Diceros bicornis minor: one gene and its partner. The main gene of each other region encodes a partner of the protein of the gene in region 2 in a complex. Links are inferred from orthologs where the notes say so. Each region holds a gene or a part of one and is shown on either strand. Other genes may lie near its edges.

Evidence for each region. The genes of interacting proteins can lie anywhere in the genome.
Region 1: THOC6 (region 2) and SARNP share a complex: the UniProt entries of both Homo sapiens proteins name them as parts of the transcription/export (TREX) complex. The link is inferred for Diceros bicornis minor from reciprocal best matches to the Homo sapiens genes THOC6 and SARNP.

The regions. Positions count from the first base shown.
Region 1 is NC_080756.1:12,865,163-12,872,440, forward strand, and holds the start of SARNP (SAP domain-containing ribonucleoprotein), read left to right. Parts: upstream 1-4,179; 5' UTR 4,180-4,270; coding exon 4,271-4,306; intron 4,307-7,278. Other genes in the region: DNAJC14 (dnaJ homolog subfamily C member 14), read left to right, coding at 197-407; ORMDL2 (ORM1-like protein 2), read right to left, coding at 1,745-1,880, 2,468-2,619, 2,788-2,962, 3,856-3,989. UniProt on the Homo sapiens protein: Binds both single-stranded and double-stranded DNA with higher affinity for the single-stranded form. Specifically binds to scaffold/matrix attachment region DNA. Also binds single-stranded RNA. Enhances RNA unwinding activity of DDX39A.
Region 2 is NC_080765.1:45,503,524-45,510,888, forward strand, and holds THOC6 (THO complex subunit 6 homolog), read right to left. Parts: upstream 3,045-7,365; 5' UTR 3,003-3,044; coding exon 2,964-3,002; intron 2,387-2,963; coding exon 2,271-2,386; intron 2,174-2,270; coding exon 2,109-2,173; intron 2,019-2,108; coding exon 1,915-2,018; intron 1,826-1,914; coding exon 1,788-1,825; intron 1,707-1,787; coding exon 1,658-1,706; intron 1,537-1,657; coding exon 1,465-1,536; intron 1,379-1,464; coding exon 1,276-1,378; intron 1,191-1,275; coding exon 1,141-1,190; intron 1,051-1,140; coding exon 988-1,050; intron 889-987; coding exon 778-888; intron 692-777; coding exon 557-691; intron 477-556; coding exon 396-476; 3' UTR 320-395; downstream 1-319. Other genes in the region: HCFC1R1 (host cell factor C1 regulator 1), read left to right, coding at 3,410-3,504, 3,821-3,877, 3,982-4,110, 4,335-4,470; TNFRSF12A (tumor necrosis factor receptor superfamily member 12A), read right to left, coding at 5,515-5,570, 5,654-5,788, 6,036-6,140, 6,879-6,972. UniProt on the Homo sapiens protein: Component of the THO subcomplex of the TREX complex which is thought to couple mRNA transcription, processing and nuclear export, and which specifically associates with spliced mRNA and not with unspliced pre-mRNA.

The DNA.
Region 1 (7,278 bases), on a different chromosome or scaffold from region 2:
TTTCAATAATCTATCTACTATTCTAGTTCTGAATATGGTTTCAGATAACATGCTGTTTAGGACACCTAGATGTCTCACCCTTTAAGAAGTTTGGCAACTAACCCAGTAGATCTTTAACTTAGGTATAAATAGATAACATAGGAAACCATATGACTCTTAATATCTCGTCTCATTATTCTTTCTGTTTTCCTCTCAGAGCCACCCCAGATGCCCCTCCTGCTGACCTTCAGGATTTCTTGAGCCGGATCTTTCAAGTACCCCCAGGCCAGATGTCTAACGGAAACTTCTTTGCAGCTCCTCAGCCTGGCCCTGGGGCCACTGCAGCCTCCAAGCCCAACAGCACAGTACCCAAGGGAGAAGCCAAACCGAAGCGGCGGAAGAAAGTGAGGAGGCCCTTCCAACGTTGACACCCCGTCTCTTCTTTCCTCAGATCAATGTCAGGGAGTCAAAAGGGCTGTGTACAGCACAGGATGGAGTTTGATTTGTTTATTTTTAAATATTTAAAAAAGGGAAAATTTTAAGCTCAAATTGTTCACTCAGTACTTGTAGGAAGCCCTGGAACCACTCTCCCTCCTCCACCAGCACCCAGGAACTGAATCTTGTCTTCTGACAATACCAAAGAAATAGGGGGTGTCTAGAGCAAAGAATCGAGGGCCTGGGCCTGGGCTGGACAGTATTCCCCATAGTGGTGTGGGAACCGGGTATTTCCCTAGGGTCTGTATGCCTTTGTCTTGTCTTTTGCTTCCAGAGCAGATGACTTTTTCTCCTCTTTTTAAACTATCTTAGTTCTTGACCCATTTCAGAAGGGAGCCCCCTCCTTTACTCCAGTATACTAGATAAAAGACAGAACAAGAAAGCATGTAGCCCTAATTATAGGAGATATTTAGAGTTCAGAGAGTGGGAACTCTGAATTTTTCCTCTGACTTTCACCATTGTGGGTCATCACCCAACTTCATGCTTGTTGCTGCAGGGATGGCCAAAACTAGTAATTTTTAAAAAGCGACTCATGCCCTTTGCCCTTGGGTGAGGGGGAAGGATAAAGGGGCTCCCAGCGGCACCCTTATGATCCAAGGGTTTGTATTTTTTTAAGTTTGTTCATATTTGTATGTACATATCTATTTAAAGCCAGGGGATTATCTTTCTATAAATATATAACTGGCAACCTGTATCTTCCCTCTCTTCTTTGCCCATATAGCTGGAGCCCTTTTTCTCATTTGAGAATCCTTTCTCTACTAAGTGTTAGCTGCGCGTGAAGGGCACCTCCTACTGGACCAAGGGAGAGGGGATAAAAAAATACCTTAAAGAAGTTTTGTACAGTAAATCACTGTTCCATCTTTCTTCCCCAGCCTCATGAGGACATCTTCCTACCCTTCCTGCTGACCAAACTGTAGCCATATCTGAAAAAAAATGATCTTTATTATAAGGAACATACATAGCAGAACAGAGCTAGAAGGTAGTGGGGGTGGAAGCTATGGAAAAACTTAATTACCAAACAAAGCTGCCCAAACATGGCTTCCTGCTGTGGATGAGAATGATTTGGTCCTTACCTCACCTGCCTTTCCTGATTCAAAGAAACCTGTTCCTACCAGGGCTTGGCCCAGGGAGCTGCATTTTCCAATCTATTCTCTTCTTGGGAGTTTGGGAAAGGTTGTATAGTTCTGAGGCTTTCAAGACATAGAAGACAGTATGGAGAAGGGAAGGATGTCGCAGTCCTTTGTTCCAACGTCGTCCCCAGCCCCATCCCTCAGTATTTGTTGATGCCAAAGAGACGAACCCCATGGAACTGGGGCAACTTAGGCAGCAGTACGCTGAGCAATGAGGCTGTGTTGATGAGGAAGTGAACAGCATCATGCGTGGTGTAGAAGCTGGCCAGGAGGTAGCTGGGGAGAGAAGAAATAGGTTGAGTGAAGTTGGCCTCCCCTATCCATATTCATGCCTTTCCAGTGACTTTCTCTTCTATTTTAAATGAAATAGTCCTAGGATGTCTGAAATAGTCCAGCTCTAGTAACAGTATTTACTTTGGGGTTGGGGAGATAATCAAATAGCACCTTTAACTGGAGATTTATAAGTTAGTTTGTGTGTGTTTTAATTGTTAATGACATGTGGCAAATGACAGCTGAAGCAGTTTTAGCCTATATGACTGTTAGAGTCCTCTTTGCTTCCACTCCCCACTGTTAGTTTTTACAGATTTACATCAGTTCTACCTTTATTTATTCACTTCTTTTGGAAGTGTAAAATTATTTGGTTTTACTTGGTATTTTATCTTTTCTCAGTCCCCTACCACTAAGGAGGCAGCAAGGGATGCTTGAGTACTGTATTCTACTTTTTACTACTCTCTCTAGATTTAGACCTAGTATACCATAATATCTTCAAAGGGTCTGAATGAGTAGTCTGCTTTTCTAAAGCTTCCCTGTGGGCCTTTGTACCTGGCTCTTGGAGCATCTCCCATATCTCCCCCTGGACTCACAGTACAATAGGAGAGATGCTGAGGAATTTGCGGGAAGAGGTAAATTGGAGCCCGTAGTCCATCTGTTCCCAGTATGTCAGTAGCCGAGCCTTTCCTTGGTCAGGAGTTTCAAAGGGTGTCCCTTTCACAGTATGTAGGAAGATATACATAGCCTGGGAGGAGGGAAGGGGGCAGTGTGAGGGGGCAGAAAGTAGTCCTTCAGCCAAAGAATTATGCTAAGATCCCAAAAGGAAGACATAAATCCCCAAATAATTGATGATTTTATTGTTTTTGGTTTGGAAAGGCCTGGGGTGGGTAAAAGGGCATGGTTTAGTGCTCACCAAGTTATGGATGACGTTGGTCAGGGTCCAGACAACAGGAATGCTGAAGAAAGGGATGCTGAGTAGAACCACATGCAGCAGTCCTACCAAGATGATGTAGGCCAGCCAGATGCCCCGGCTATTCATCACTCGAGTGTTGGGGTTTACTTCGCTGTGTGCCACCCCCACATTCATCCTACCACAGTAGGGGATCAGACAGGAGTCCAACTCAATTTCCTCTCAACCCCTCTTTGAGTTTGTTCCCGAAGTTGTCTTCTGAATAGCCAAAATCCCTTGAACTCTATTAGAATGAAAGAACTTCCCCATCATGCACAAAGGAAAAACTGAAGACTTGGGGGAAAAAACTTAAAAGGCACGAAGAGTCCTCTCTGCATTTTAGAGACATATAATGGTAATTTTTACTCTGATCCTTACACTTCAACTGTAACTTGAAGGAGTAAGCCTAAGCTTGGGGCACCTGCTTCAAGGAGCAAGGGAAACATTAGTATCTCACTTTACTTTCCTGAAGACGTTAATAAGAAATCATGAGAGGTTACATACACCCAGAATTCCAGAAGAGGGTCATGGGAAACAATGAATCATTACGGAGGAGAAAGAAGGGTAAAGCTACTTCTAATCCCCACCTTTTCCTCAGGGGCTTGCCGGTTCTGTCAACCTCTTGGCACGTAAGCAGCCAGCACCCCAATTCCTTCTCTCAAGCCTGGGGCGCTGCCAGACTTTGACCAAGGCTTTTGGATAGGATGAGACCTAAGCTCAGCGTCTCGAGAGATGGAGCCCTAGCCCCGACTTCAGGGGCGGCTCTGGTCGTCTGAACTTGGCCCGTTGATGATGCCTAGTAAGAAGCAGCTCTTATCCGCCCCTCTCTACCTGAAATTCCCTGAATCCTAGTATTGAACCCGCCCTGTGCTCCTCCCAGCTTCCCTCTCTCGTTCGTTGGCTCCCCTCCGGGCTCTCTTCAGCGCTCTTCTCTCGGTATTTAACTCGCCGCCGCTCCACTCACCGCCCCCTCCCCTTTTGCCTCCCACCGTTTTTCTCGGCACCCCGTTCCAGTCTCCCGGCAGCCCCTACCTGCCTGCTTCAGAAGCCCGTCCAGCCTGGGGCGCAGGGCTCGCTTCCACACCTGCGATCTCCAGGAAGCAGCCGCCCTCGCCCATCTGCACTCTCCCGATTGGTGGAGCAGAATCAGCGCTGCTGCCACCCATTGGCTGGCGGTCTGCATTGGAGACGCACAATTGGTCGCCACTTAAGTCGTTCAGAAAGTGCAGAAGCCGCCCTCCACCCTGTCCCACCTTCAGAGACAGGAGGGGAGAGCTGCTTAGAGGAGTGAGAGCGACGCCAGCTGTTGACTAACGGGGAGAGTTGATGGTCCGAGGTGGGAGTAAGAGTGGCAGCGATTGGTCGGCCGTGGCTGGCTGCGCCCAGGCGGGAGCTCCGGGAGGCGGAGGCAGCGGGTGGGGGCCTGGCGGAGTGGAGGGGTAACAAGATGGCGACGGAGACGGTGGAGCTGCACAAGCTAAAGGTAGCGGGAACGGGGAAGGGCTGAGCTGGGCTCTCTGGGGACTGAATTCTGCTGGTGGCTTGCGCCTTTTCCTACATGTTCTCTTTACCGGCTTTTCCACTTCGTTTGCCGGCTCCCCTCGTAGTTCTTTTCTTTTGTGCCTCCTATCTTTCCCATACGCCTTGCCTAATTTCCCATTTCTTCTCACGGCTGTCTGGCGTTATTCCGGCTCCCTTCCTCATCGTTGTGTCGTCCGTTTCCTTTCCCCACCGGCTGGTGTAAGCGCCTTCAACCTGTTATCCTTCCTCCTCGTTTCTCCTCGAAGCTGCATTACGTCAGTGGTCCGCTCCTCTTCGCCCCACGCCGGACCTAGCACCCCTTTTTCTTCCCTGGCTTGATGCTCCCCTGTCTGTCGTCCGAAGCTGAGATTCCCGTTAGCAGGTGGTGGCACCTTTGTGTTTTCCGTCTGTCTAGGTCTCAAACGTGATCCAGAAAATGCTTCCACTCCTTTTTTTAGGTGGGGTTACGCCCCCGGGGCGAACTTTGAAACCTGAGGAGAAGCCTCCGAAGATAGGCCTCCGCGTGGAAGCCTGGGTTTCGGAGACCTTAGAGTTAGTGAAGGCACGGATCCCGCAGACCGAAAAGTTTTCGCGTTCTCTCACGCGGTTCTCTTCCCGCCAGCCTCCCCCCGCCCCCGCCCCCGCATCCCCTACCCGAGGGACAACTCGCTCAGAGCTGGGATGTTTTGGAAAAGCACTTCCGAGGTTAGGGTTATCTCTGTCCCGTTTCATATCGGGGATGGACCTTGCCTCTGTTCGTGTCTCCGCTGGGTGCCACTCTCCACCACAGAAGCTGTTTTAAGTTGTGTCTTTTGGGAATCTTGGTAGTTTTCTCACATTTAGTTGATTATTTTCCTGGAAGAAAAGAGTAGTTTCTTTTAGGGTGAATTGAGAATATCTTGATTAGTTGTCCATTTGTGGTTTCACAAGTAGTTTTCCCATCAGGTGTTTTGGTCACATCGTTCTGGGAACCTTGGATAAACCAGGCTGATTTAGCGGAATCCGAAAACTGATCCTTTAAAAAAAAAAAAAGTGTGAGAGTAAGGATAGGGAGAGCTTCTTTTAGTCACTTATTGGTTGACACCAATTAGCCTTTCTGTGAAAGCTAATGGATTTCTTATGCTTGGATTCTAAAGTATACTAGTGGGTTTTTGTGTTATCCTGGAGTTACTGTCAATTTAGCGGTACTGAAATGTGTAGATTATATCGGTAGTGTCGTAATATCACGATAAGTAAAAAAAATTGAGCAGTCACCTCCATTATATGTATAGTACTTACTTATATAAATTATGTACTGCCATACTGTTATGTATGTTATGAAAGATGTACAGAAAAGGAATTTTTGAATGAATGAGATAAAAAGGAAATATGAATAGAAGATCTAATGTTTTCTTCCGATTAGTCCCATTTTTGAAGCTCCTGAAGTTAAGTCATCAGCCTTGTGACTTGCGTTTGTGGATTTTTGTATTGGTTTATGGAGTTCCTTCTTCCATGAAACCTGTGTTTGTCAGGTCTATATTAAATTTGATTTTGGTTGGATAATGTCCTTTGACCTGATTTCAGGTATTATAGACTGAAAGAGCATGAGGCACTCCTGACAGCCTGAAAAGGATTCACTCTTTTAATCACATTTGCTTGTCTTTGCTTTTTCTCTAGAACACTTCTTAACCTTTTGGAGGTCACAGATATCTTTGAAACTCTGATGAAAGGTATGGACCCTCTGCCCAGAAAAAAGCATGTACACATACTTTGCATGCGATTTGAGGGGCTTCATAAAACTACCTTATAGCCCTGAGGAGTCCATGGACCTCCGGTTAAGAACCCATGCCTTTCATTCTAACTTCCAGGACAGTTAATGTTTGGTTCCACTGTTGATCTTGATGGAGTGATCCTGACTTTTGGGTTGACTTAGGGTTTTATCTCTTTTTTAAAAAGTCTTTCCATTTTTACTAGGAGAATTTGGGGCTTTAGTAGGGTTCTCAGAGGAAAGGAACAAGCTTTGAAGTAGGAAGGAAAAATATTTTCTATCTGAATTGATATGTAAGTTCACGTCAACTGCAAATTTCTGATGATTCTGTAGAAATGCAGTCGTTCTAACACAGTTGGAAAGAGACTGAATTGTGGGTGAAAATTCCTTGAACTGCAATAGTACCAGATCTCCAGTCAATGGTGAGCAAAGGGGCTACTGCAGGGGCTGGCCCCATGGTGTAGTGGTTAAGATCACCTGCTTTGGCGGCCTGGGCACGGACCTGCACAACACCACTCATCAAGCCATGCTGTGGCAGCCTCCCATGTACAAAATAGAGGAGGATTGGCACAGATGTTAGCTCAGGGACAATCTTCCTCAAGCAGAAAGAGGAAGATTGGCAATGGATGTTAGCTCAGGGCCAATCTCCCTCACCAAAAAAAAAAAAGAAGAAGAAAAGGACTACTGCAAGGAGAGAACGACAAGGTCAAAGTGTCAGAACTAGTGTCAGAGTGTTTAGAACAATGAGACATTTGTAATATTGAAGCGTAACGCGTATATGTTACTGGTTGAAGATGGAAAGGAAAGTCGGTGAACTGTGTGACTATAAAGGTAGATTGGAGTGATATTGAAAAGGGCCCTTTAAGTTGTGTAAGGTGTTTAGTGTTTGTCATGTAGGCAGAAGATGGGGAGCCTTTGGAAATTTGAAAGGAGGAGCTGATATGATCAGTTTTGTGTTCTTTTGGCAGTACCGAGAATGGGGTCTGGAGAGGGAGAGATTTCACCGGTTAGATTTTTTTTTTTTTTTAATTTTATTTATTTATTTTTTTCCCCCAAAGCCCCCGTAGATAGTTGCATGTCATAGATGCACATCCCTCCTGCTGCTGTATGTGGGACGCGGCCTCAGCATGGCCGGAGAAGCGGTGCGTCTGCGCGCGCCCGGGATCCGAACCCGGGCCGCCAGCATC
Region 2 (7,365 bases):
CAGCCAGTGGAGCGACAGGGCCCCGACTGTCTTCCAAAGGGGGCTGGTGCCCTCCCCGCCCCAGGAGGCTGGGCAGGGGCTCACTGGGAGCAGGGGCCAGCTTTGGGGACCAGGCGCCCCAGGTGGTGGCGGGAGCAGGTGGGGCAGAGCTGTCTATTTTTCTAATCTACATAGGTCTATCTTTTCTAAGCACTAGGCCCCCTGGCATGCTCTACGACAGGGATGGGGGTGGGTATTTATGTATCAAGATCAGACAGAGTAATATATAAATCATTACACCGACCTGGCCTCCATTCTTGGGAAGAAAGCACATGGAACAAAAGCCTGAAATTTTATTTGTAAAAAAAGAAATAAAAACACTGCAAATCCCTGGAATGGGAGACTGCCGAGGGAGATCAGAAGGACAGGGAGAAGGCGCGGTAGCCCAGATTGGTGAAGACATCCACCCGGCAGCTGTTGCCCGCAGCTGTCAGGACCTGGAGGCAAGGTGGGGCTGACTGACCTGCCCACACTGCCCTGGCCTCCCAGGCTCCCCATAGCCCCTTGCCGGACCCACCTTGCACTCAGGGGCTGCTGGCTGCTGGTTGAGGCTGAGGCTGAGTAGCCCTGGGGAGGAGCCAGGCACCTGGGCCTTGAGCTCCCCGCTCAGTTGCCACTGGTTGACGCAGCGGCCCTGGCCAGCTGACAGAATCTGTGGGGGGCAGGGAGGGGGATCAGCGTTCAGGGCTGGAGAGGAGAGCCAGACAGGGGTGGCATAAGCAAGACAGAGGGCCTCACCAGGTCCTGGTAGAAGGTGACGTGCTTCTGTGGAGCCCGCATAGGGAAGATGGTGGTGGGTGTGGAGGATCGGAGGTGCCACAGAGTAAGTGCTGGGCCCCCTCCACAGACCTGGACAGAAAGGTGGGGGTCCCCAGCCACTGTGAGCCACAGGCCCTCAGCTGGCAGGGCCCAGAGCTGCCTCCCCATCCTGCCCTCTGCCCGGCTCACCATCCAGTCTGAGTCAGTTGCCAAACATCCGATCCAGCGCCCATTGTGGGGCCTCGAGCACTCCTGGGAGGGAGCAGGGGAAGAAAGGAGGAGGTGAAGACGCAGGGGATGCCCAGGGAGAAGGAAGGGAGGACGCGTGCAGTGTGCCCTCACCTCGTGCTTATAGACCTCGATCGTCTGGACCTCCTTGGCCGTGCGAAGGTCTGTGAGGGAAGAACCATGAGAGGCATCCTACTTGCCCCAGTCTCCCTCACCACCGTCTTTCCCTCCAACCAGACGTTCCCTTACCCCAAAGTCGCACAGCTCCATCCTCGCCCCCTGACAGCACCTCGGGGCTCCGCTCCCGCAGTGCCAGGCAGTGGATGTAGTCCGTGTGGCCCCGGAGGGCCCGCTACAGGGAGAGGGCCAGTGTCGGGACAAGATCTGGGAAGAAGGCCCGGTGCTGCCCTGACCACCCCAGCTCCGTGGCCATCTCACCGTGAAGGCCCCCGTCTCAAGGTCCATCGTATGCAATTGACAGTCTCCCCCCGCCAGGATGAGGGAATTCTCCTGCAGAGGAAGGCGAGGTGGGGTCGGAAGTCAATGTCAAATCAGGACAGGGAGAGGGGAAGGATCAAAGATTGGGCCAAGAAGAGGGCAGGGCAGAGCCCCAGTCACAAAGGGCTCAAACCTTGGGGACAAGAAGCAAAGCATTGATCTCAGGCACTTCCAGGCTGGTCCTGGGGGAGGGAAAGTGGCGTCAGCTCTGCTGAAGGGTACCTTCACCCCCACATGCCCCTGCCCACATGGCCCTGGCTCACCTGTATGGGGGCTGACGACGCCACAGCTCCTTACAGCCCTTGGTGGAGGAAACACTGGGTGACTTCAAAGGTTCTCTCTCTCTGGGGCTGGGCGCCCCAGCACTTCCCCCAGCCCCACGCTCCTTACCTTCTTGAGGATCTCCACCCAAAGCCAGGACTTCACCTCCCCATCCCCAGCGCTGAGCAGCTGCCGATCAGTGGAGACCATGCTGTAGACGGGCCCATCATGGGCTAAATGGAAACGCAGACCCTGAGTGACCCTGTCCTGCTCCCCTCCTCCACGCTGGGGTCCCCGAAGCCAGACTCAATGGCTGCACCCACCTTGGAAGGTCACCACGGGCTTCTTACTTTCCTCTTTGGCCTCGGAGCTCAAAGCAGCAGACAAGCTGAAGGGAGAGCGGAGAGGGTCAGAAGCAGGGGGCATCAGTACAGGAGGGCCAGGTGCCAGAGCTAATGGGTGGTGGGGAGCAGGGCCAAGGGTACCTGAAGATGGCTATCTGCCCGTAATTATTGCCGGCGGCAAGGAACTTCCCGCAGGGTGACACACTCTGGGAGAAAATGGTCATGTGCAGCCGCTGCAGGGCCTGAAACACTTCCACCTGTAGGGAGAGGCTGGATGAAGACCATCTGGGACCTCCAATCCACAGACTCCTTCCTGCTTCCCCTGCCGCCAGTCCAGCTTCCCACTGCACAGACTTCTCAGCCCTCCGTTGAGGCGGCCCACCAAGTGGGCACCTGCCCTCACAGTCCCAGGGGTGGCTCCAAGAAGAGGGCGAGGCGAGTAGAGTTGAGGCGTGATGCCTATAGGACCTTGAGCAAGCACCCAGCCTCTCGTCCAAATTTCCTCAACTGTCAAATGGACCTCACAGGACATTCTGTCAGATTGGATGAGGTACTGTACACAGAGTTTCACACAGGGGTGGCTCGTAGAAAGCGCTTAAAAAGTGGCTCTATTACCCCAATACAGAAAAACATGCTTACAATCCCTATCCTCCGACTTTCATGTTAGTCCTTTTAAGGATGTCTGGGTGATTCTCCCACCCCCGCGTCAGAGTCCGAGTCCCAGCCCAGAGCCCACCCAAAACAGGACTCAGGGCACGACTCCTCGCCCCCCCCTTCCGAGCCGGGCATGGACTACAAAGCCCAGAAGACACTGCGCAACCACGCCCGCCTCACCTGACCGAGAGGCACCGCCTGCGGCACAGCTCGCTCCATCACGAGAACTACAAGTCCCAGAGTGCTCCGCGCGCGACGCAACCTCACGAGTCCGGACGTGCCCGCGATCCGCTCCGCTTCGCGGCACCCCACCTCTCCAAGACCGCTGGCAGGCCCGGCGCGAAGGCGGCCGCCGCGTACTAACCCGAGCCCCAGGAACTGAGGTGACCGCCGCGAAGATCCTCGACACTAAGTAGCGCCCACCGCAGCCCCCCCTGAGCCGGATCCCCTCCCCCACCCTGCCGAGCAGATCCGCCTTCCAGCCACGCGCCGCCCGTCTTTCGCGCCTGCGCGGAACCTCCCCGCTGCGCGCGCCTACGGCCGCGCCCCTCGCGTTGGGCCACGCCCTTAGAGGCTCCGCCCCTGTCGCCTGGATCCCACCCCTGCCCTCGGGACCCCGAACCCCAATGATCCTGCAGCAGCCCCTGGAGCGAGGCCCCCTGGGTCGGGCCCAGCGCGATCCGCGGGCTGCCTCGGGGTCGCCCCGAGGCGTGGACACGAGGTGTGTGTGGAGGGGCCCTGGCTGGGCCTGGCCCAGGAGTGCAAGAGCTTTGGCTGGGGGCTCAGGGGAGGTCTGCAGGGTGACACGCGATGGGGCGAGTCGGCAGGGCTTGTACATGAGCTAAGACAGGGTTGGAGGCTCGAGACTGAGACTTCCGCGGCAGGCTGCTGGATGGCCAGGGAGAGAGGGGTGACTTAGGTGTCAGCTAAGACAGGGATGTGCTGGAGGCTCCTGGCTGACCCTGCAGGCTCAGGCAGGCAGATCCTCGGGATGGGGCCAAGAGGGTGGGGTGCACCTGGTTCTCTTTTCTTCCCAGCTCCCCTCTCCGAGGAGCCGTGCCCATGAGCACCAAGCGGCGCCTGGAGGAGGAGCAGTGAGTTTGGGGGCAGGGAGGGACTCCCAACAAGACCTCAGGTCCCCATCAGACTGCCTCCCCTCTGAATATCCCACCCTGCTTGCCTCCCTGTCTCTCTCTAGGGAACCCCTGCGCAAGCAGTTCCTGTCCGAGGAGAACATGGCCACCCACTTCTCTCGACTCAGCCTGCACAATGACCACCCTTATTGCAGCCCCCCCATGGCTTTCCTCCCAGCTCTGCCCCCACTCAGGTAGGCACTATCCACCATCCAGGGGCTGGGTCTTCTGGAGGATCATACCCGCTCCTGGGAGCTAACCTCCAGGCCCTGCCTCATCCTGCTATTTTTAGCTTCTAGCCAACTTCTGTTTCCCATCTTGGCTTCTTGGAAGGTGCCTACAGCAGGAGCCCCTGGTGGGGGATGGCTCTGCCAGGCCAGCCTCAGCCCTGTGCCCTGACTGTCCATTCCTCTTCCAGGAGCCCTTGCTCTGAGCTGCTTCTCTGGCGCTACCCTGGGAACCTGATCCCTGAGGCCCTCCGGCTGCTGAGGCTGGGGGACACCCCCACCTCCCACTACCCTGCAACCCCAGCTGGGGACATAATGGAGCTCTGAGTGCTGGTGGGCACTGCCCCTGCCCACCTTCCTTCTTCCCCACGACAGGGAGACCAGCACCCCCACGAAGGGACCAGCTGCCCTGCTTTTCCTCCATGACCTTCCCCTAACAGAGGAGGACACTGTGCCCACAGAGCCTGGGGTGGGAGGGGCAGGAACCTGGGAAGGGAGGCATTCCCCCCCCCCCACCCCACCCACAGGAGAACTGAATAAAGATTGCTGAGCAAATAAAGGTTTCAGTCTGGAACCTGGGGCCTTTGGGAAGAGGGGGAGGGCTGGGGCGCTGGATGCTGGGATTTCTCCTCAAGATCTTCCCTGGAAAACGGTCAGGGCCCGGGCCAGGTCCTGGCAGGCTGGGCTCAGGCATTGAGAATGTGTGAGTCAGAGCCTCACCCCCGCCCCCGCGGCTGACTCACTGCTCCCGCCAGCTCTGGGAAGTCGGGCTGGGGATCAGGACACTCTCCGAACCATTTAAAGTTAAAGATTCTTTTATTAATAAATTCTCCCTCCCCTCCAAACTTTCTCCCCAAAATAAATATCCCCCCCCCTTTGGGGATTTGGGGGCAGTGTCTTAGGGCCAGCCCCCCCTAGAGGGCCAGCCCCCTAGTGTTAGGAACAGGTCCCTAACCCCCCAGGGTGAGACCCCGTGGTGGAATTTCAGTACATCTGAGTGGGTGGGGCCTGGTGTTGTGTCTGTCCCTCAGGTCAGCCTGGCCCCCAGGCCATGGCGGGGAGAGGGACCCCCTTGTGCAAATGCTGCAGTTCCTTAGTGTCAGCTGTCTGGTGTGAGCCAGCGTGGGTCTCCTTTTCTGTTCTGGAGCCAGAGACAGGGCAGTCAGACACCTTGGAAGTCTCCTCGGAAGCCTGGGCCCAGACCTCAGAGCAGTGATTCACCCGAACCCCATCCTTCCACACCCCTGTGGTTGGAACAGCCTGGCTGGCTCTGGCTGTGTGTCTGGGAGGTAGGGGCTGGCTCCAGAATGAATGAATGAATGAATGAATGATGAGTAGGTGGGGCCTCCTGCTGGCAAGGGGCGCTCACTGTCACTGGATCAGCGCCACGCCAGGACAGCCCTCCCCGCCGGTCTCCTCGATGGGGGCTGCAAGACAAGCAGAAGGGTGGTCAAGAGCAGAGGAGAGGTTGGGGAGTTATGGAGGCGGCGGGCGGGCTGGGCACACTCACTGGTAAACTTCTCTCTCCTGCGGCACCGTCTCCAGACCAAGAAGCCGGAAAGCAGGCCCAGCACGAGGGCCAGGCTCAGAGCGCCCCCCAAGATGGGCCACAGCAGCCGGAAGGAGGCCGGAGGGGCCGCAGCGCCTGGGGGCGGGACTCGAAGTCAGACCTTACCCCTCTCCGGCCCAGCCCCGCCCCCTAGACCTGAGCCTGAAGCCTTTCCCCCACCGTGGCCCCCACCCTGATCCGAATCCCTTCCCTACTCCCGCCTCCCGCGTCCTCGCCCCCGCCATTAATTTCCCAGATCTGAAGCTCACTGCTTCCCTCTCCACCCCAGCACCCCCACCCCCAGTCAGGGGTCCGCTCGCCTCTGGCCCCGCCCCCCACTCACAGCCCAGGCAGAAGTCGCTGTGCGGTCGCGCCGGGCAAGACGCGCAGTCCATGCACTTGTCGAGGTCCGCGCTCCAGGAGCTGCCGCGAGAGCAGGGGGTGGTGCCTGGGGAGGGGGCCGCGGGTCAGAGGCTGGGGGCGGGGCGCGGCTATTCTGGGGGCTGAGGTCAGGGTCGGCCGGCTCGAATAACGTGAGTCACCGGCGCCCTCCCCCCGCATTCCTCACAGGTGACCGCACGCCTCGACCGGGACACGGCGGCGCGGAGGGAGGGGGCGTAGCGCGGGACGCGGGGGGGTGGAGGGGGATCAGGTCCCCACAACCCCCCCTGCCGCCGGCGGGTGACTCACTCCCGGGCACCGGGCCCGACCCCGGTCCCCTCCCCCCGCATAGCTGGGCACTGAAGTCACCGGATGGAAGGGGGCACCCCACATGGTATAGGGGGCACAGACCCCCGAGGCTCTCGACACCCCTCCCGACTCTTAGGTCACTGGAGCTGGGTAGACCCGGTGTTGACCTGGCTGGGGGCGTGCCCCCTCACCGGAGGAAACATCCCGCCCTAAACTTTTTCTCCACTTCCGAGTCCGGACTTTCAGGACAGAAGCCCCCCGAGTTAGAGAGGCGGGAAAACAGGCCTGAATCGTGGATGAAGCTCGAAGCGGGATGGGACTTCCCCTGGCGAGGGAGCGCAATGTCTGGAGACCACCTGACCCTCGATCCCCACGTCCGCCCAGTCACCCCAGTGCTGCCCCCTCCTCTAGGCCCCCAATGGCGACCTCCCTATCCCGAGCTGGGGGTTCCGGCCCCCACGCCCTCCCGCCCGGCCCCCGCCCCCGCCAGGCGTACCTGGCACCGGCTCCCCGGCGGCGGCGCGCAGCAGCGCCAGCCCGAGTCCCAGCACGAGGAGCCGCAGCCGCGGGCGCAGCGGGCCAGGAGCCATGGTGCGCGTCCGGCGGCCGCTGCCGACTGTGCCCGCCGCCTGCCGGCCCTCGCAGACAGCGGCGGCCCCGCCCCCGCCCCCGCCTTCCGGGGCGGATCCCTCGCCTCGGCCCGGCCCGCGATCCACTCCGGGACGTCCCGCCCCGCCCGGCCCGCTAAGTTCACCCGTTCGCTCAACAAACACGGTCTTCGCGCGCGAACGGCCGGGACCCTGCAGGGACTCAGACCCGCCTGGCCCTGCCCTCTCGCAGCTCAGGTCCGGGAGGTGTGTGTTAGGGGCAGGGGGAATCCGACACGAAACAACCCATGGCAGAGATAATTGCAGCTTTCTTAAGGACCCCAGGGGCATTAATAATAACAGAACAAGAATAATATGTCCTTCATTTTTTTTATT